Linked DNA regions of Medicago truncatula. The protein of the gene in region 1 interacts with the protein of each later gene in a pairwise test. Links are inferred from orthologs where the notes say so. Each region holds a gene or a part of one and is shown on either strand. Other genes may lie near its edges. The genes, in order: RNA-binding protein with multiple splicing 2 and protein BTR1.

Region 1 (10,953 bases):
CCGACGATTCGATTCTTCCTCTTCAAATCTGAAATCGATTCTTCTGTGCCTTTGTGAGTCTCTATTATATTGTAATGTGATTTTGTTGCGTTTTATGAATTGGGTTATCTGAGATTGTTGTTGTTTGTGTTTTCTTAGTTGATTTTGTTGTGTTTTCATAGTTGTTTGTTTGACAACGTTTGAAGATTTTCTGATGATTGTTTATTTTTCACTTAACCATGTAAAAGTGATTAACTTCGATAAATCATCCATGTAAAAGTGATTAACTTCATGTATCATGTAGTGTGAATTTACATATTCTTCTGGTATCATGTAGTGTATCATGTATGTCAACTTTGAGTATATTTTGTAGTAACATGAGGGACTATTCCTGGTTTTGTGTTAATAATTCTGGATTCTCCGATATTGATGAAAGTCTCACATTTTAAGTTCAGTAAATCAGATGTAAACAAATGTGAAAGATAAATTTGAAATATGAGCTGTAAGATCAGATGGTCCAGATTTGTTGACTACATGGTCTAATGTTGCTAAATAAGGTCAAGTTGATTTGAGTATTGAAATTTCTATATGATCTATCCCTCAGTTAATTTGGTATCTAGTGCAGTGTTGTTTCTTACTAAATCTTGTATGAGTTAGTACAAGAATTGTGCCAAGACACATTCAATTGGCTGTGAGGAATGATGAAGAATTGAGCAAGCTTCTTGGTGATGTTACTATTGCTAATGGTGGTGTTATGCCCAATATTCACAACTTGTTGCTTCCAAAGAAAGCTGGTGGTAACACCAAGGGTGCTGATGATGAATGAATGAATCTTAGCTGAAAAACTTGAGTTAATTGTGTTAAATTTAGTTTGAAGAATCAATGTCTTTGTAGTTCTAGTTAGGGGTTTAGTTAAATGACGTTTATGTGGATATATTTATCTAAGCTTGTTCCTTTGGAAGAGATTAATGAAAATTCATGAATTTGGCCTTTTTACCATTTGAATCTTTCTCAGTTTATCAGTTAATGTTTGTGATTCTGATATTGTTTTAATTTATATGTTAACTGTTATCATCATCATGGCCATTTTTGAAGTGCAAGATTGTTTAAACAAGTGATAAGGAATCATAAATTTGGATTTTGGGTTTGAATTTTGCTGTTGGTATACAGTTGAAAGGTTTATATTTGGAATTTGAATGCAATTGCAGTGGTTTGATTTGGTGTGGAATACAGTTGCAGTTATATGGTTTGTACATTTTAGAAATTGATTAAAAAATATACCATTTGATTCAAAAATGTACCATATTCATATATAAATGAAGCAGTGCAGTACTTATCTAGAAGTGGTTTTTTCACGAGTAAATTATAAATCTAATCCTAACCGACCAACAATAATAACTTTCATAACAACTGTTCTGCATGATGTCAGCTCCTTCCAAGTCCATGTACATTTGAAAATTTTAGTTTGAGGAGCATTAATGCTATGCATACCAAATCTATCTACATTTGAATATTTTAGTTAGAGGAGCAGTAATGCTATGCAACTTAAACCATTAAAGAAGATGCACAATTTAACCATCTTTCTACAAAAGGAAAGCCAACAATGAGTTAGAACAAACAGCATATTCGAAACAACTTATAATAAGCTGTTTTGCATAAATAAGCTGTTTTGCATAAATAAGTTGTTTTTCATGAATAAGCTATTTTTGAAAATGAGATCATAATAAGCTGTTTTGCATAATTAAGCTGTTTTGAAGAAGCAGTTTTTGAAAATGAGATCATAATAAGCTATTTTGCATAAATAAGCTGTTTTGAATAAGTTGTTTCTGAAAATGAGATCGAAATAAGTTGTTTTGCATAAATAAGCTGTTTTGCATGAATAAGCTGTTTTTGAAAATGAGATCATAATAAGCAATTTTTAATAAATAAGCTGTTTTGAATAAGCTGTTTCTGAAAATGAGATCGAAATAATCTGTTTTGCATAAATAAGCTGTTTTGAATAAGTTGTTTTTGAAAATGAGATCAGAATAAGTTGTTTTGCTTAAATAAGCTGTTTTTGAAAATGAGATCATAATAATTTATTTTGTATAAATAAGCTGTTTTTCAAAAGAGATCCTAATAAGTTGTTTTGCATAAATAAACTGTTTTTTTTTAAAAGAGATCGTAATAAGTTTTTTTGATAATACACCTATCAAAAAATAATACACTTTAAAAAAAATAATTCACCTATAAAAAAAAATAATACACTTTAAAAAAAATTATACACTTTGATTTATGGATCGGATGGATTATCCATCCATTAAAATCTAATAATGGATGGATTGGATGGACTTTATTCTAATTGGATGGACTGGATGGTTTTTTTTAAGAAAAAAAAATAGTGGATTGTAATAAACTAATGGACCTTTTTTGATCCATCCATTAGGATCCAAATCCATATCCATCCAATCAATCCATTTGCCACCCCTATTTAAAATCATGATGATCAAATGACTCTACTATCAGAATGACATTTGCCTATCCAAAAAAATTGATGGCAGGATGAGGATCCCAGAATGACTCTATTATCCTCTAGTTGTATTAAAATTAGCCTACCAATATCTTCTACACAAATAAAACTTGACAGTATAAACATCCAATTCTTGCACAAAACTAACATTTTTCGGTTTATAAGAAATTCGTAGTCATAGGGCACCTATAATTCAATGGCTGCTTCACTTGATATCCAACAGACGTTCCAACCAAATTTGATGGTAGTTTGCCTTACCCGTGCAAACAAAAATTACCTGCAACAATATGGCAGTAGCAGAAATGGACCTTCCATTATGAAAGGAAGCTTTGTCATGTTGCAACCCTGTATAAATTAGACAACATATAACTCCGGAGAATCCTTTAAATAGTTTTAACTTCAACGCATTTAACATTAATGTTGTGATCAAATGGAGTCATGAATGCCAGGGTGGATGTAGTTTAAAAAGCTTGGGAGTGTACTTTAGAAGACAAATTACAAGTTATATTCGGTGATTCAAAAATCAAACAAATGAATTTTACGAACTTCATAGTTAATTACATAGTTATGCCAATTTCAACCATTAATTTTCTAATCACCGATTATAACACCATATTTTATCGCCTAAAGTACGCCCCCAGTTTACAGAAACTAAATTTGAAAAACAGAAGGCTAAAAATGTGGTGTAATGACAATAGTAATGAGTGGAAAGGGTAGATGGATCATTGATGTCATGTCAAGCCGTGCCATGAAAAGAAAGAAAGCATCACAATAATATGTCATGTCAAATAAACAACACATGAACCTAAAGTTGGAAGCAGATACCAATGCCTGTTTGGATAAGCATCCCTAAATACCAATGTATACAGAAAAGTCTAATGACCATAAAGCACATTTCAAACAAAATTTAGACACATGCACGGTTCCTACAAATGATAACGCCATCTAAACACCTATGAAACTAATCTGGGAACCAACACATGCTGCCGATAAATGCATGTCTGATTAGTATAACATAGCCAAGTGTATGTATATGATGCCACGGTGCATTCATTAACATGAGCAGTGATGATAATGGCGATGACTTGATAATCAATGGATGCATGAAACAGCTGCAAGATGCATCCTATAATGTAGTAATATTGGTTGAAGCATAAAGAACAGAGTACATCCCCTTCAAGCTACTGATAAGTCATTGCTACTGGAGCTCCATTGGCACCAGGAACAGCCATAGGGTAGGTTCCATCTTTTCTTTTTCCAAATGGATTTTTGGAATATCTGCTAAGAAGTCAAGAAAAGTACAAAAGAATTCCTTGCCTACAACAGAATTGAGAAATCACAACTAGGTTTATACCAAATTGAATGCAAAGTATGAGTGTATGTTGAATGCACATTGAGAGATAAGAAATGTAAGCAAGAATCATCATTCAACAAATATGAAGCTTTGGGCCTGAATTTACCGATACTTAGTTTTGGCATTGAAAAAACAAATGAAAGAAACTCATGGTTCCAGTATCAGTGAAGAAAAGTGCATGGTAAATTGGAATAAGTGCGAGCATTTAAGCAAAAACTTCTAATGTATTCTACTATTTCCCAGTCATAAACCCCGGATGCTGGGTTAATTAGAGAATGAACATGAATGAAAGAAAAAAATCAAGAAAACAAAGCTTAAGATGCTCAACAATAAAAAAGGATATTGTATCCGCATGCCAATTGAACCAGAACTTGGGATAACAGCACCCTGCAGATTGTGGTGCACATTTGTAGCACTATTCACATCCTGCAATAGGTTATTGAATACCAAGTATTAGCGTAAACATAAATCAGAAAAGATCCAGACAATAAAAGGCACAAATATGAACAAAGTTTACAGACTTCAAACTCAATGAAGCAAACTGTATGCCTCTCCTGCCTTATAATCTTCATTTGCTTAAAACCAGGTTGTCTGCATTACAAAGCCAAGTTCAACAGATTAATCCAATATATGACACGGCATAGAAAATGCTACATAAACTGAACAAAAGAGCCTGTGTCAAAGGATAAGTTTTACATACACACTGAAAAGGCCCCTCACTTCTTCCTCATTAATGTTCTCTCCTAAGTTCCCAATAAACAGGGTGTTGCAAGGAGGGTTATCTTTAGTGTTCTGTACAGAAAATTTAAAGTAAACACATTGCATTCACTATCTATCATTGATAAACAATATTAACGGTAGTATAAAAAGCATTTATTAAATAAATGAGCAACATCACTGCATGATAATAACGAAGGTAAAACCAACTGTGAATATACTTCGAACAAACAATACTTCTGTTTGACCTTTTAAACATCATATTTTTTCCAGTAGGATGTACATAACACATTTAAACATTCATTCAGCAATTTAGAGGTATTAGTTGCTGTAATCTTGCCTTCTTTGGTAGTTAAAATAGAGATGTAAAATCTCTAAAATATGATTCTAAATCCGAGCAGAATATGGCAATTAAGTCAACAATACATCCAACAAAACAAAGACAAATGCTTCCCCTCCCATATTCACTTTGAGATACAATTTTAGAACTCTGCTGTGCCCGTGCCCGTGCCCGTGCCCGTTCAGGACTTCAAGGACAGTTCATGAGCACATTAGTGAGTAGATAAGTTACTTGATCAATTTCTAACAGTTAAATGGTAATAATTATACCAACAAAAGAAAATATCAAGCCCTTTTCAACTAAAATAAAAAATATACAAGCAAACATTACAGAACTTATAACTAACAGAATATTCAAAAACTCCACCTTCTCTTTTATAAATGACGAGCTCAAAATTGCACACGAAGGTATAATGATATAACAATTGACAAAAAGATGAGTGAAACCAAAGTAGCATTAACAGTTTAAAGTCATTCTCACCTGAATTGGAACATAACTGCTAGGTGCGATAGACACAGGAGCAGGCATTGGTACTTGTGCAACAGGATAGCCTGCATATGGATCATACGGAGGAGGAGGTGGTGGAGCCATATATCTAGACCATAAAAACAAACAAACTTTCAGTTAATAATATGGAGAAACAAACAATTTTTTTTTATCAATGTTGTCAATTGCTGATCGCGGAAAATATTGGTTTTTCTAATTCCACTGCACAATAGTGGTATAATCCCCTATAGCAACTATTTCACAACATTTTGTACTAAATAGCAAATCACGAAACAATAGCGACTTGTTCAAATTCTGCTATGCTATAGCCACTATTTGACGACATTGTTTTTACATATCATATCACACACACACACACACACGCATATAGATGAGGTTTGTGTTAGTTTACCCATGTGGTCCCCAAACAGGTGGTGGAGGAGGATGAAAAGGAGACGGAGTTACGTAACCAGTATGATTATAATCCCCAGCTGTTCGTAACCGTTTACTTTGATCAAAAGCAACTGCATCAGCTCCTATTCCTACAAAAATATCAAAATAAGTAACACTTATATAATTTACAATGAAATATGTGAGTGCATGTTTGAATTAACAGTGCATGTTTGGCAGAATTACAGCATGTGAAGGTGAATTGAACAAAACCTCCACCTTGGAGTTTCAACAGATCACCAATACCATAATTTAGTCTAATAACATGTGTTGGTACAATGACACATGGCAGACACTAGACAATTGAATCAGAAGTGAAGGTGGCATAGAAATAGAATTGAATGACCTCGTTTAACAAATAGATTTTTCTTGGCCATCTCAGTATGAAGAACAGATTTAGCCTCGGGATCAAAAAGCATATCCTGAAGAATATCTTTAGCAGCAATAGCTTGATGAGGAGAATTGAAAAGAGCAAAACCCATAGGCTTTTCAGCTTTGAAATTCAACTGAGAAGCTTCAAAACCAGGTAACCATCGACAAAGGTTTTGAAGTTCTCTCTCTTTAACATCTTCTGGAAGACCCGTTATAAATATGGTTCGAACCTGAAAAAGCATAATTGAATTGAATTGAATAATAGATTGGATTTGAAATTTGAAATAAATAGAATAGAAGAGTGAAGTACCTCTTCGGAGGAAGGGGAAGGAATAGCGGTGGGTTGAGGAGGAGGAGGAGCGGCGGCGGGAGGCCATTGTTGGTGGTAAGGGTGGATGCCGTTGGCTGCCATCAGTATCAATCAAAATTCACAAATCAAAGAAACCCTAACCCTAACTACTCACCAGTTAGTAAATCCGGTGTCGTTCGTTTACTCTAAACACTTCTCAACTTCAACTTCAAGATGCACACTCTCTTCTTTCTCTTCTTTCTTGTGATCCAGCTTTTTTTTTTTTTTTTTTTTTTTGTGGTGGCAACATTTAATGACTATAATAATTTATCCTATTATTTGCTTCAAAAACTATTATCTTTTTTTTTTTATATAAAATAAAAATTTAGACTGTGAGAAATAATTTATCTTTACTTTTTTTTTTTAAGGAATTTTTATCTTATCCTATATACTTTTTTTTTTAAGAACTTGAATACCACTTTTACTTGAAAATTGTGTAAACTTGATTAAAAGAGTTTAATCAATACACACCTAATGATATGTTATTATATCAATTAATAAATATGAAAATAATTATATATTGTATGATAACAGAATATACTTATTATTATCATAATTGTTTGTTTCAAAAAAAAATAAATTAATAATTGGTCTTTTCCTTTAAAAAAAATGATTGGTCTTAACCAAAAAAATATTTAATACACATATCACCGTATTAACAATTAACCAATATGTCCCTTTCAAAAAAATAATTAAATGCGAAACTTTAAAGTATGCATGAGTTTTAGTGATGTTTACCATTTTGTTTACGAGCCCAAAATAAATAAAAATTAAAAAAGCAATTTGTTGGAACAAAATGTGTTTAACATTAACTCTTGAGAGTTTTGATGATAACAATGTATTAAAAATTGTCAATTGGATATGCTAATAGTTGTTCAAGTGTACAAGGCTATAGACAAAATTTGACATTTAAAAAGGTCTTGGAAGAACAATAAAGAGCAAAGGAATCAACAAAAAAAAAAAAAAAACTTAAAGCGTCTGAAGAAAACTGCTCCTGAAGACAAAGCGCTCCTGAAGACAAAGTGTTCATGAAGTAGTGACGTCATCAGAAGCAAGTTCATCAGAAGCTGAAAATCACCAGAAGCTGCAGTTCATCAGGAGATTCAACTTAAAGCTTCAAAAGTTGTTCAATGGATTCAATCTCGTCTAAGCATTGCAGAAGACTCGAAAAGTGAAGCAACGGCTAATTTGAAAGGATTTGAAGGCATTGAATGTTTGTTCTTCAAAGAGCGTTGACAAAGTACGATTGTACGAAGTGTACAACCACTGCCTCCACTACTCTGTTCTTTGTCTTTGCTACAAAACAAGAAAAACAGTTCTGCCTGCAACGATGTTCCTTCACAATGGGAATGCATTTGAAATTGATCCTTCATAGAACAGTAACCATATCAGGCAAAAGATCATTGGTGATTGATCAAAGCTTCAAACGACTCTATTTTGATGTGCTGGCAATTCACAATGTCTCTTTCACACCTCTATATAAAGAAATGAAGACTTAGAGTTTTAAAGAGAACAATACCAAATATTACAAGTGTCAAAACTCTGCTGAAATTGTTCTGTAAAGATGGAAAAGTTACTATTACTTTATGTTTATCTCTCTTTATATTGTTCTATCTCATTTTATATGTTATTTCTCTTTAATTTTTCTCTCATAAAATATGCTTAAAGTCATCATGATTTTTCCAGCCACGAAGTCACTAATATCCAAATCTCATTAGTGCACGCCAAGAACTACGTAATGCATTTAGAACAAAGTAAACTTTAAGGTTTGATTAGCCAAAGAACAACTGAAAAAGTATCGGATTCTGTTTGTTTTACATTTTTACATGTTCCAAACTAGCATTGAATTTTTCCGTGACAGATAATAAATTGGAACACTGAATTTATCTGTTTATGATGAGCAATTCATTTACACGTAAATTTATCAACATAATAGATAACACAAGCTTAACTAAAAAAACAGAAAGTCACAACAAAAGTTTGACAAATTCATTAACCATAATAGATTATAGGTAAATAAACCATCAAAGGATGAATACAAATGGATTGCTTCTAGCTTGTGAAATTATAAGAGCTAGTTCCACTTGGTTGGTACATCACATTATGATTCTTACCTACCTTTTCCCTTTCAAATAATTGCATTAGTTTTGCAACTTTGAACAAAAGTCACAAACAAAAACATCAATTACAAAAGACAAACATCAAATAGTTTGTACATATTTAAAGCTAGAAAAACCATGATACAAAACTTAGTACAGGTCACACACTACTAGCTGCTTTTGTTTTCAGCTAGTTTTATTTATACTCTATCATCCATTACTTCATAACAAATTTCTCAAGCTTTCTACTAAAATCAGAGACTCATTAACTTCATTTCTCCAATCAATACCTATATATATATATAGTATTACTTTCTAACAATCACAAGATGAAATTCATATATTTATGAATCATCTATTTAAAGCTTGAGAAACACAAACTCCTCAATAGCAGGCACAGCTCCAATATTCTCAAGAGCTTCCTTATTTGGCTCTTCATCGACGCCAATAGCCATAAGCGCTTTCTTCCTACGCGATGTTCTTCCAACACTCATAAAGCTCACATTCACATTTTTCTCGCCTAATATGTTTCCGACAGTACCAATCATCCCAGGTTGATCAATCTGTCTGCACAAAATCAGATTCCCTTCTAAGCTCACATCCACAGCAAAAGATCCCACACATGTAAGGTGTGGTGTACCGTACTTCACTTTTCCATCAATGCTTATCTGACCAGTCTCTGATACAGCACTCGCGAATTTGGACTCCACATTGGATATCTGTATCTGGATTGACTCAACAGGTAGTTCAGGAGACGAATCGACCACTACTCTTTCCTCGCTTATGCGAAGGCCTTTTTGCTTCGCAATGTAATCAGCATTTACAAGGTTGACAATTGTGTTTGATATTGGTTCAATGATGCCTTTTGTGATCATGGCTCGAAGAAGTCTAGTGTCAAGGTCATCGGGACCCCTGGCTGATCGGTAAACCACTTTTACAGACTGGATTCCACTTCCTCCGGATACCAACTGCACAGCTAACCTTCCTAGCTTCTCAGCTAGCACAACATATGGAGCCAGTTCTGATAATACCTGATGAAATTGCCAACAGTTATGACAGAAATAAAATAGAAGAAAAAGAAGAACAATGCACATCAATCATAGATGTCACAAATTTGACCAATGTCTAAACTACTTGTAATTCAATTCTGATTTTCGTGGAGGCTGGCTATGGTCTTTATTCGAGAAAAGCATAATAATGTCACAATGAGGTTGTTTTGTTTACCTCAGGAGCAACCATAGGAGCATTGACAGCAGTTGCTGAAAGTTCACCATTCAATGCACCAACAACAGCCTCTGCTATTTCAATAGCCACACCCTCCTATTGAGTCAAAATTGGTAAGAAAAACAACTTGGTAAGGAAATAATGTGAGCTAAAACAAATGGAAGTAGGATATTAAAGAAAAACAAACCTGTGCTTCTTTGGTGCTGGCTCCAAGATGAGGAGTAGCAATCACATTCTCATGTTGCACTAACTTACTGTCTTTGGCTGGAGGCTCCTCAGTGAACACATCAAGAGCTGCCTGCTCCAAGTTCAAACAAAATAGAAATGTCATTTGAATGGTTAACAGATAACTAATTAATTTCAAATTTGAACATTGTTTGTTAATCACGACTTCATGTGCTTCAACTACATGTAGATTTGAAGTAAAAAAAAGGGTTGACCTGAGCAACAATTCCACTATCAAGAGCTTTGACTAAAGCATCTTCATCAATAACACCACCTCTAGCAACATTGATGATTCTCACACCATTCTTCATCTTAGCAAAAGTGTTGTCATTGAAGACTTTGTTAGTAGTTGGAGTGAGAGGCATGTGAAGTGAGATGAAATCAGCGGTTGTGATTGCTTGATCAAATGAAACTAATTCCACACCAACAGCACGTGCTCTATCAGCTGGAGCATAAGGGTCATGAGCAATCACATTCATTCCTAATCCTTTTGCACGCCTTGCAACTTCAGATCCAACTTTTCCAAACCCCATTATTGCTAATGTTTTCCCAACCATAGATACTCCAACATACTTGCTTCTCAGCCATTTTCCTGCAAAAATTATCAACAAATACTCATACTATACTAGGGTAAATTCTTCACCTAAAAATTATACTTTTTTGTGTACATAACATAACTACTTCATAAATAATATCTCATGTATATTTCAACCGATGGATCTAGCAAGAATCATCCATCTTTCTGCTTTTACAATGCAAGAGATCACCTCACAATCTCAACCTTAAAACCTTTGGATATGTCATATGTCTCAAGCAATTAATCTTCCAACATCGAATATATGTCAATGT
Region 2 (10,953 bases), on another chromosome or scaffold:
CCAGAAATGTAATCGCCTCTGTCTGATATCTTTATCTTTGCTCCACTAGTCTGAAAGGGCAAAAATTAGTCAAGTTAGTTTATTATATAAGCAATCACATTATACCATGCAAAATCATTAGGCATTGGTAAACCTGACCTGACTAATATCCGATATATTCCTTCCACCGCGGCCAACAACCAATCCTATATGCTCATCTGCAACACCAATGGTCATTGAGTTACTTCGATCCTCCTGGAAGACAACAAAGAAGTATGTCAGTTCAGACTCATAGAGCAAATCACCATTACACGTGGATGTATGAATTTAATAAAAGATACATAGTTTTTCATTCATAAATTCAACATTGGTAATAGATATATAAGTATATAACTCATAGGAAATCATCATTACACGAGGACGCATGGTTTTAAACAAAGATGAGTAGCTTATTTTATTCACTAAATTCACCATTAGTAATAGACATATAAGTTAACTCACGATAGCATGTTGAGTTGAAGAAAACAAATTGTAAAACAACAAAATAGGTGGAAAGTGAGCCAAATGTAGTAACAAATCCCTAAAATATAGTAAGAAAAACTAAATCTTGAACCAGCACAGGTCAAATATATCAGCCTGTCATGTGAAATGTCAAGAGAACTGATTTAATCTTACGCCACAGTTACACCAATTTAAAAATTATTTGTTAGTGTTAGGGCAAGCAACATTACAAGGTGAATGAAGAAACTATATAAAAAAAACCTTTATGAGACTGTATGTATTATGCAAATATTTCAAAGGTTTGATTCCTTAAAAACCATTGTATCTATGCATCACCTTTCCTTCCAATCATCCAACATGTTAGTATCCATTCATGTCAGAAATTATGAACAGGCATGTGCCAAAAACACAAACTGGCACCCTTTTAGCTAATTAGATATTGCACTATTATATAAAAACACCATATGAAGTTCTGTGAACACAACAAAACATATTCATTTTGAATGCCACATTTTGTTTTCTAGAATCATTTCCCTGTCTCTACATTCCCCTTTAGAATAAAAAATAAACTGCAGTGACATAAAACAACATACTCTCAATCGCAATTACAAGTACGATATATTTATTAAGTAGCAATGACTAAGGTATAGATAGCTTTAATCAACATTCGATTTGAGTGCGTGTGTGTGTTTGAAAGCTTGGCAACTTGAAACATTAGAAACCATTAACAAGATTAAATTGATGGAATGAGGAAAACCTTGCTGTTCTGGAACTTTGCTCCAGTACCATTAGGTCTGTAATTCACTCCGTTGTATGCTGGTGGTGCAACAGATGGAAGCACATATGTATATGGAACACCCTGATAACCCGAGACATAAGCACCTAAAATGCATGTTAAAAAGTTGTACTTAGCATCAAACACACGAAGTTATCCATACAAGACAAAACATGATAAATCTACATAACCATCACTTTACTACCATAAAAATAGACAATACCCTCATATTTTAAAAATAAATGCTCCCAAAAATGAGTAAATTGCTGTATTAGACTACCATAATTAGTATTGGGCCTCGACCTTTTTGGCGTAATACCAAAATCACACTATCACCAAGAGTATGATCCTTACCACTCTTACTCTTTCAGAACAAGAGCCGGTCTTTTCTCACTAAGTGGGGTCGGTTACATGGGTGTATTAACCTTGCACCTATTATTCCTAAAATTCAAATGACATTAAGATATTTTAACTCATTTTCAACTTCTCTTGTAAGTATTCCTTATCTGGTGAAAACGAAATGGATTCTATGAATCACAGGTGTTACTCAAATGGATTATGAAACCATCTTAATCATATTTTACCTTCACACAGATACACAAGGATATATTAAATATTTTGACATAGTATACTATTTGAATTTGTAAAAAGAACATTTCCTTACCATTACTATCCCTGATGTATAAGTCAGTAATACAATCAGAAGAAAGACAGATGGGCCCGGCTCATTAAAAAGAAAGCAAAAGAGTATAAATGTATGAACTTAACAAGCTAAACTAACAATATGTTGGGAAGATATACTAATTAAAGTAATGCCTCCATCTACTTCCTTCCTGCAACGAAGGTGAAAGAAGACTAATCCCAGGGGTCCATACATAAACAGGGCTAATGGAGGATAATGAAGAGTCATTATGAAGATTAGAAACTACTGCCTTCGTCCATATTAGGTGCTCCAAAGTATATAAGTATTAGCGAAATACAAAAATGGATAAGAGATATTCCGTGGAACAAATAAACGACACTGACCAGAATATGTAAACGGAGAACTCATGGAATGTGAATAATGAGGATCTTCAGCTAATTTAGAAACAATTAAATCAATTCCACGCATCTGCTCATCCAGAGTTCCTGTCACTGTTACTATCCTATCATTTTGTCCATAGTAACTATTATCTTGAGGAGATATTTTAATGCCAGCTTGAGATTCTTCAATGAATGACCTGATCAAAGGCAAAGAATTCATAAGGTAAGCTTTTTACCCCCATCTCTGAATAACATTAAAAAAAATTAAAAAATAAAGGATCATGCGATGAAAAATAACAGCCGGCCTGACAATAACATGCTTATTTTTAGCAGGGGAAGCATAGGCCATAGGGATATAAAAGCTCTGACACCAAAGAACCAGCATTCATATAAGGGACAACCTCTTGAAATCAAAACATATTCCCAAAACACAAATCAAAAGGCATAAGTATCAAAAACTAATTTGATCAGTACTAATTTCATAAATATGGTAAACAGGTAAGCCCTACAACTTGACAAAGAAAATGAATTGTACCTAATGGTAGCACCTCCCTTCCCAATTATTCCACCACAAGAACCATTAGGAACAATGAGTCTCACTTTTGTTTTTGGCTCAACATCATTGTCATCCTCGCTGTGAAGCTAATCATATAAAGCAAATTAAGCTCAGAAACCTGCAATGCAAGACATATTTTATTCTAGTAACTAATTGAATCAATATCATAGTTATTACCTCACTGAGCAACTTTGAAAGAATGAGCTCTACAGCTCTTAGTACTTCATTGATTGCACCAGATACCATGATAATCCGATCAGTGGTTCCAGGGAAGAATTCATTATTGCGTGACAACTGGATTCGTGCTCCAGATTGTGACTGAAAATCAGTGATTGTTGAACCACCCTTACCAATAACAGAACCAGCAGCAGAATTTGATACCAGAAACCTAACATACGTTGGCTTTTCTACAGAATCTGAAAGTGAACATTATGTAAAAATGATCACAAAGAATCAAATATATAAAAAAATTATCAGTAGTGTTATTAATAGCGGATCGTGGAAAATATCGGATCACCAAAAATCCGCTATGGGAAATAGCGGATAGTGACGCAGGCAAATAGAGAAAGCCACAAAGCAGTTGAAATAAAGAATTATACATAAAATAAAGCATGATGTGCACAAATAAACAGAAATTTAAAAAGTGACCGACATAAAACTTAAAATTTCAGTAGTTCAAACAACTATTAAAGCATGATGAAGTATGAAGTGAAGAAAGAAAGTGGAGAGGCAAAAGAGTTTTAGTGATCGAGAGGTTTTCACTTTACCTAGGTCTTGGGGTTACATACGACCCCCATCTCATCACCGATTCAGCATTATTTAATTTTTAATGTTTTTAAAAATATGTGCAGCTCACATGATAGTTTTAATGTCCATTGGAGAAAAAAAATATTAAAAACAATAACTTCCCCTATGAAACAATAACCGCTATCTCCAATATGCAAAAAGCCACGGCTATTGCAGCGGCAGCGAGATCACAATAGCGTATGGGATTTCGTCGCTGTTGCTTGAAATCCCGATACATAATAGCGGTATAGCGGCGCCGTACCAATTATTTAACAACATGGATAATCGGTGTAGTTGGTAAAATAAATCAATTTAAATTTCATAGTTTTACAAAAGCATTCTGAAAATTGCCTAAAAAAACATTCTTAAAATTATATCACTGCATTTTCCAGGAACAACGTGCTTTTGTACCCATAAAACAAAACAAAACAAAACAAAACAAAACAAATGCAGAGTTCATACATCAAATAACTGTCCTAGCAAGCAAGAAAATGACAAAGTCCTAAATTAATCGCACAAATGTGTGAAGTGTGAAGGTTGTTCTGCCTCTCACTAACACAAAAGCTTAATAAACGTCCAAATTTGATAATTTCAAACAAGAATTCTATAGCATGATTCTCTTTTCCATATTTTATATTTAATAACAATTTTAGCGCATATTACGAAAACAGATTATTCTTCCCTTCAATATCCAAGACAAAAAATAAAATCGCAAGACAAATAACTCTGAACTTTTCACACCCAACTCTAAGTGTGTGTAGGTGGCTCGCCGTGATTCCCGTCAACTCACTGTGGTACCAAACTTGCGCTAAATAAATACCATATCGGATTAAACCTTAAAACCTTTTCCATCAAATATAAACGTCGCAGTGAAATTTTAATTACGTTATTAATTTCAATTCTAATTTGGTAACAGTATATAGTAAAACATAGCTTAGATTTAGTCAAATCCAAATTAACTCCAATCTTTCACAACATAAAACTTCTCTGAAAATTTCCATTTAACTGCAGTCCCTGTTTGGTTACACGTTGAAAATTTTGAACACAAATTAATGCTTATGGCCAAACTCAACAGAATAAACAAACACGCCGTAAGAAACAGGATAAAAACAAAAACAAAAACAAAAAAACAGAGTATATTTTCCTTCTCATCAATTAATTTGGCTCACGACTAGTATAGTCCAATTAAGTTAAGAAGTGAAGAAACGTACAGATTCAGAACAATTAATTCACTACAAAATCATAATGTTAATTACCAAAACTTTAAAAAATATATATATATACAGTAAAATTAAAGTAATAAACAAAATTCAAAATATATAACAGGATAACGTTTCTACTCATATAATAAAAATAAAAATATATATTAAAATCTAAAATATACAAGAAGTAGCGAGCGAGGGAGCATTGTGAAGAATTAGGGTTGAGAATGAAAACGTTGACCTATGTACATTACAGAGAGAGAAAACAGATCAGATCGGAAGAGATAGATATACCTTGTGAAGGTGAATCAGGAGGAGGTGAAGAAGCGTGCTTCCTCGGTCCTTCTGGAGATGACACGTAAGAAGATTCAGGAGACTCCATTGTTGTTCTTGGACAACGACTTCAGCAACAGCAACAGCAACAATAAGAAACCTAATTCTCACTCCTTTGTTTGAGAGAGAGAGAGAGATAGAGAGAAGGAAAATTGACAGTTAATTCAGAGAGAGAAAGTTACATAGTAGTAATGGCGAAAAGTGTTAAAGAGTGAGAGAAAAAGTGAATACGGCGGAATGAGAAGAAGAGAAGAGAAGAAGAAGTTGGTGCTGCGGTTTTTGTTTTGTTTTGTTTCTGTAATACCCACCGCAACGTCACGTTTTGTTTTGTTTATCTATCGATAATCGATAATATGCTGCTGCGTTGTGTGTGAGGTGTCAATGTGTGTGTGCGTGTGTGTTTCTCTTTCTCACGTCCCGACCCACTGAAATGAATCGCAATTTTACCTTATTGCCTTACTACGGAAGAAACAGATATTATCATCACCGTCAATTCAATTCTACTGCTGTGATGTTTATGTAGTACCGTAAATTGAATTATTGAAACTATTTTTTATTTTACAGAAGAAAAGTCAAATTCTAGAAATTATGATTTCATTCGTTATTTCGGGTAATAATGCAATGATAAATAGACCGGGTTTGTGTGCTGGTTGGTGGCCCCTATTGTCAAGGTGGCATCTGAATCGTTTAATTAAGATTAGATGATTTAGATTATAAGTTTGAAACTTATATTTAAGAAAATTTTAAATTTAAATATAAAATTTGTATCATTCAATCTTCATCCATTAGATGAGTTTGACAGGGTTATAATATTACATCAAAACAAAACTTTTTTATAAAATGTCAAAATAAAGCTTTTTAATAATAGCGTTCAATATTTTTCCACTTTTCCATTTATTTTAGGTACAATTTTAAAATACTAAAAAAAATAATAGCTTTCAATATTAATGATATAATAATCTTTGAAAAAAAATAATAATATAATAATCATATTTTTTTTGTCATATAGTTTAATGACTAATTACGCGCTTTAAGTGTGGAAACGAAAATATTACAACAAAATTCATGCAACCACCAACTAAACTGCACTCACAAGATGACAATAATAAAATTTTGATTTTTACTATGAGTATAAGTATCCTCAAAAAATCTTTTCAAACCATAAAAAGTCATTGAACGCATTAAAATCATGTACCAAATTCAATTTATTTTTAGATGTTTTGTCAAAAAAAGTCATTTTTAAATGTAATTTTGCTATAAATCAATAGACAGATTCTTCTTAAAAAGTAGTGGTATTTTTTTCACTTTTTAACTCAGTCTCTCAAGATATAGATTCGATCTTCCGCCTTTGACGTTGGAAAGCTACTTTGTCGTATGAGTCAATGTCATATGTCGGGATCAAAAGAACCCAAAATATAAACTTTCCCTTTTTCTCTTTGTTGGTGTTGATTGAGCAAGGATTTAGTTGAGATTTGGTTGATATTCTCGATTATGATTCCCTTTTCTTCAAACGATTGACATTGAAGGAGGAACTTTGCCCATCAATAGCAGTTTTCCTAACTCTTGAGTGGAGTGTTTGGTACAATTGTTTTGAGGTTTTTTTTGACATATATACTAAAAAAATATAAACAAAGTTGAAAATATAAACAATGGTATATCTATTTCCTTTATGAAAAAATAATATATATATATATATATATATATATATATATATATATATATATATATATATATACACTATAAATTTCATTTCATTTTTTTCATTCCTATTATAGTATTGACGCGATTTTTAGTGATCGGACTAACACAACTTAAAATAGAAGAAATGAGAAATCGAATGTTTGAATTAAAGCCTCCATTTATCGATATCTCCGTAGCTATCAACTAAGTTGTACTTATATTTGATTATTAATGCAATTTTGATCCTTGTGTTTTTATTAAACCTGTATCTCAAATGAATTATTAAACATAGAATATGGTGTATCTCAACTGTATTATTAAACAAAATTAATTGTAAATACATTGGATACAACTACATAAGAGAGATTTTTCGTTACAAAATTAGTTCAATCTTTTAAAACATATTTTCTATCTCTTCTTAAAAAAATATATTTTTTGAGAAGCTGTAACAAATGGATGCAACACTCTTAAAAGTGATTTTTTTTTTTAAGTTATTTTTTTCTTAAAAAATCTATAACTAACGCCCTTTATGTTGTATCTATTTGCATCGACAACAATCAGTAGTTTCACATTTTCTTCAATTATATGTCTACATGACCATTCTTGAAGGTGTATCTTATGCTAAACAGCGACAAGGTGTGGAAATTGTGAGAGAGCTTGTATGGCCTCAAACAAGTAAGTTGAAAGTGGTATGAGAATTGAGAAACATGATGAAGATCAAGTTCAGACCATTGTCTCTTCACCTTGAAGCATGATGACGATTTTACAACACTTTCGGTGTATGTAGACCATATATTACATTTATCACACAAAAACTTGTCCAATTTTACATGCTCCCGTCATTACTGACTTCGATACAACTTGTAGAGTGGTTAGATATCCCAAATAAAACCTTGGTTGTGGTCTCTTATTTCCAAGAAGTTCAAAAGTCCAAATTTTTTGTTATGATGGTGCTAATTAGGAAGGATTGTTTGGCACACATAAATCCACTTCAGGTTTTAGCTCATTCTTAGGACCCTCACTCAATTTTTGTCGTGCTAGGAAGAAACAAACAATCTCTCTTTTTTTCTTTCCCTCAGAGCATAATAGCATCAACTTCCACATCTAGTTATGCATTGAAATGAATTTTTCACTATGCATTGAAATCACTTTTTTACTTGATGCATGATTTAAATGCAAGTAGAAATGGCTTCATTGAATAACAAATATATTGAAATATAATATTAAAAAATAAAAGAAAAGGTTCCCAACGTGAATTGAAGAGAGATGCTTGTGAAATAAGTTGTCGATAAGTAGTTTTTTGAAGTAGCATTCAACAACTTTTGGCCAAAGCTCATTCTATTCAATTTTATACATTAAAAAAAGTCCATTTTTTAGTAAGTACTTAATTGATATTATACTTGGCCTAACTTCTCCTTAAAAATGTAGAGAAGTTGAAAAAAACTGGGTCAAACGGTATCTTAATCTCTCACAACGGCAGTGTAGAAGCAACTGAATTTGGGAGAAAAAAATTAGAAAATAGTTAAAAATAAAAAAATTGAAAAATAGTCAAAAGTTTTAAAAATATGAAAATTAGAAAATAGTTAAAAAAAATCGGTGAGGTAGCACTCAACCAAGCAAAAAAAAATTATATGCATTAACGTAACAAAAAACAGACAGACGAACATAAAATATTACTTTAAACGTTAATGTGTGTGTGTATTCGCGAGGTTGAAGAAAGGAAATAAAAATATTTGATATAATTAAATGACAGCGTGAATAAAAATGTTTGTGAGGTTGTGATGATTAAGCAATATTGAAATTAAATATATAAGTGATAAAAAGATAATAAAATTCTTTTGAAAAAAAAGATAATAAAATTAAATCTAACAGTTCAAAAAATAAAATAAAATAAAGTTAAATGAAAAGAAAACATATTGAAATATAATATTAAAAAATAAAAGAAAAGGTTCTTAGCATGAGTTGAAAAGAGGTGCTTATGAAATATATTGTCTAGAAGTAGTTTTTTAAAGTAGCATTCAAGAACTTTTGGCCAAAGCTCATTCCATTCAATTTTATGAATTAAAAAAAGTTCCCTTTCTAATAAGTACTTAATTGATATTGTGTTTGACCTAACTGCTCCTTAAAAATGTAGAGAAGTAAAAAAAAAAACCGGGTCAAACGGTATCTTAATCTCCCACAACGGCAGTGTAGAAGCAACTGAATTTGGAAGAAAAAATTGGAAAATAGTTAAAAGTTTTTAAAAATATAAAAATTGGAAAATAGTTAAAAAAATCGGTGAGGTAGCACTCAACCAAGCAACACTAAAAAAAATTATATGCATGAGCGTAAAAAAACACAGACAAACGGACATAAAATATTACTCTAAACGTTAATGTATGTGTGTAAATATTTGCGAGGTTGAATAAAGGAAATAAAAGTATTTGGTATCACTAAATGACAGTCTGAATAAAAATATTTGGGAGGTTGTGATGATTAAACAATATTGAAATTAAAATAATTGATAGTGTGTTTGACCTAACTTCTCCTTAAAAATGTAGAGAAGTTGGAAAAAAAACCGGGTCAAACAATATCTTAATCTCCCACAACGACAATGTAGAAGCAACTGAATTTAGATGAAAAAATTAAAAAATAGTTAAAAAAAATAAAAATTGAAAAATAGTTATTAAAAATATAAAAATTACAAAAGTTATTAAAAATATAAAAATTATAAAATAATTTAAAAAATGGTGAGGGGCAAAATGGGAAATGCACCCTAAATGTAGCATCCACGTCACCTATCCGCTAATTCTAAAACCAACCAATCAGAGACCATTAACCATTTCTATATAAACCATTCCACACCCAAATGCAAAATCACAATTTAAAACACTATAATCTCTCTCGCTCTCTGTAAAACTCTCTCGTTTTCAATTTCAGCTTTTCAGCTTTCGATCATCAATGGCACCAAAGGGAGAGAAGAAGCCCGCTGAGAAGAAGCCAGCAGAAAAAGCTCCCGCAGAGAAAACCAAAGCGGAGAAGAAGATCCCAAAGGAAGCTTCCTCTGCCGACAAGAAGAAAAAGAGAAACAAGAAGAGCGTAGAAACCTACAAGATCTACATCTTCAAGGTTCTCAAGCAGGTTCATCCTGACATTGGAATCTCCAGCAAGGCTATGGGGATCATGAACAGTTTCATCAATGACATCTTTGAGAAGCTCGCTCAGGAATCATCCAGACTCGCTCGCTACAACAAGAAACCTACCATCACCTCTCGTGAGATTCAGACTGCTGTTCGTCTCGTTCTTCCCGGCGAACTTGCCAAGCACGCTGTCTCCGAGGGAACCAAAGCAGTCACTAAATTTACAAGCTCTTGAATTTATACATTTCTCCAATTAATATAATTTAGGGAACCCAATCGTTTTGATGTCACATAGAATCAACTCTATAATGAAATTTTATTTTGCTCTAAACACCTTGCAATATTTTTTAGGTTTTTTATTGTTTATGCTTTTATTTTAATTTCAATTGATTCAAACTGTTACCGACAACTCAGAACTGCTTCAACATTTGATTCTGAATATTTTGAGTTTCTCGACAAATTAAGATGCTAGTTTATGTATGCTTACAATTGCGTTTCATTCAATACTCAATATTTTACATAAACTATTATCTGTCTTATTGCATTTGTCAAGAATACCTGATCTAATTCCTTTCGGTGGCTGTAAATGTTTATGTTGTTTGACAACAGAAACACTCAATGTATTTTGATGTTGATTTATTGTTTATCATCTGATGTAGAATGTGTTTGAGTAAAACAATTAGTACTATTATTTTCTGTTTTGTACAACCATAGCTGTTAAGTGATTAAGCCGGATTCAGGTTTGGGTTTATTCTCTTTACAAAGCTCCAATTTGTCAAAGTATGCAAACCCAAGTTGACACATCCAATACAAATGCATGGCAAATTGCACCGAGTTCTGTGTCTGCTTACATGAGGGAGAGTGCTATAGCCTATAAGCATGTATGTATCCTCTCTAAGCCTACCAGTCTTTGTTGTTTTGTATTCTGGTGTCATGTGCTTTCATTCTTTTAGGGCGTTGTTTTCTTTTGTGATAGCAATAGGACCACGACAGGAACTA

What was found.
Region 2: the proteins of RNA-binding protein with multiple splicing 2 (region 1) and protein BTR1 interact in a two-hybrid assay, tested with the Arabidopsis thaliana proteins (2 studies listed by BioGRID). The link is inferred for Medicago truncatula from reciprocal best matches to the Arabidopsis thaliana genes AT3G21215 and BTR1L.

What each region holds. Positions count from the first base shown.
Region 1 is NC_053045.1:435,549-446,501, reverse strand, and holds RNA-binding protein with multiple splicing 2, read right to left. Parts: upstream 6,798-10,953; 5' UTR 6,620-6,797; coding exon 6,518-6,619; intron 6,438-6,517; coding exon 6,182-6,437; intron 5,928-6,181; coding exon 5,798-5,927; intron 5,495-5,797; coding exon 5,380-5,494; intron 4,635-5,379; coding exon 4,543-4,634; intron 4,434-4,542; coding exon 4,364-4,433; intron 4,269-4,363; coding exon 4,186-4,268; intron 3,767-4,185; coding exon 3,670-3,766; 3' UTR 3,190-3,669; downstream 1-3,189. Other genes in the region: D-3-phosphoglycerate dehydrogenase 2, chloroplastic, read right to left, coding at 9,015-9,686, 9,880-9,975, 10,067-10,177, 10,320-10,696.
Region 2 is NC_053042.1:44,622,334-44,633,286, forward strand, and holds the start of protein BTR1, read right to left. Parts: upstream 5,544-10,953; 5' UTR 5,387-5,543; exon of another isoform or gene 5,268-5,386; 5' UTR 5,205-5,267; coding exon 5,117-5,204; intron 3,251-5,116; coding exon 3,012-3,250; intron 2,921-3,011; coding exon 2,814-2,920; intron 2,476-2,813; coding exon 2,282-2,475; intron 1,363-2,281; coding exon 1,238-1,362; intron 235-1,237; coding exon 139-234; intron 51-138; coding exon 1-50. Other genes in the region: probable histone H2B.3, read left to right, coding at 9,776-10,189.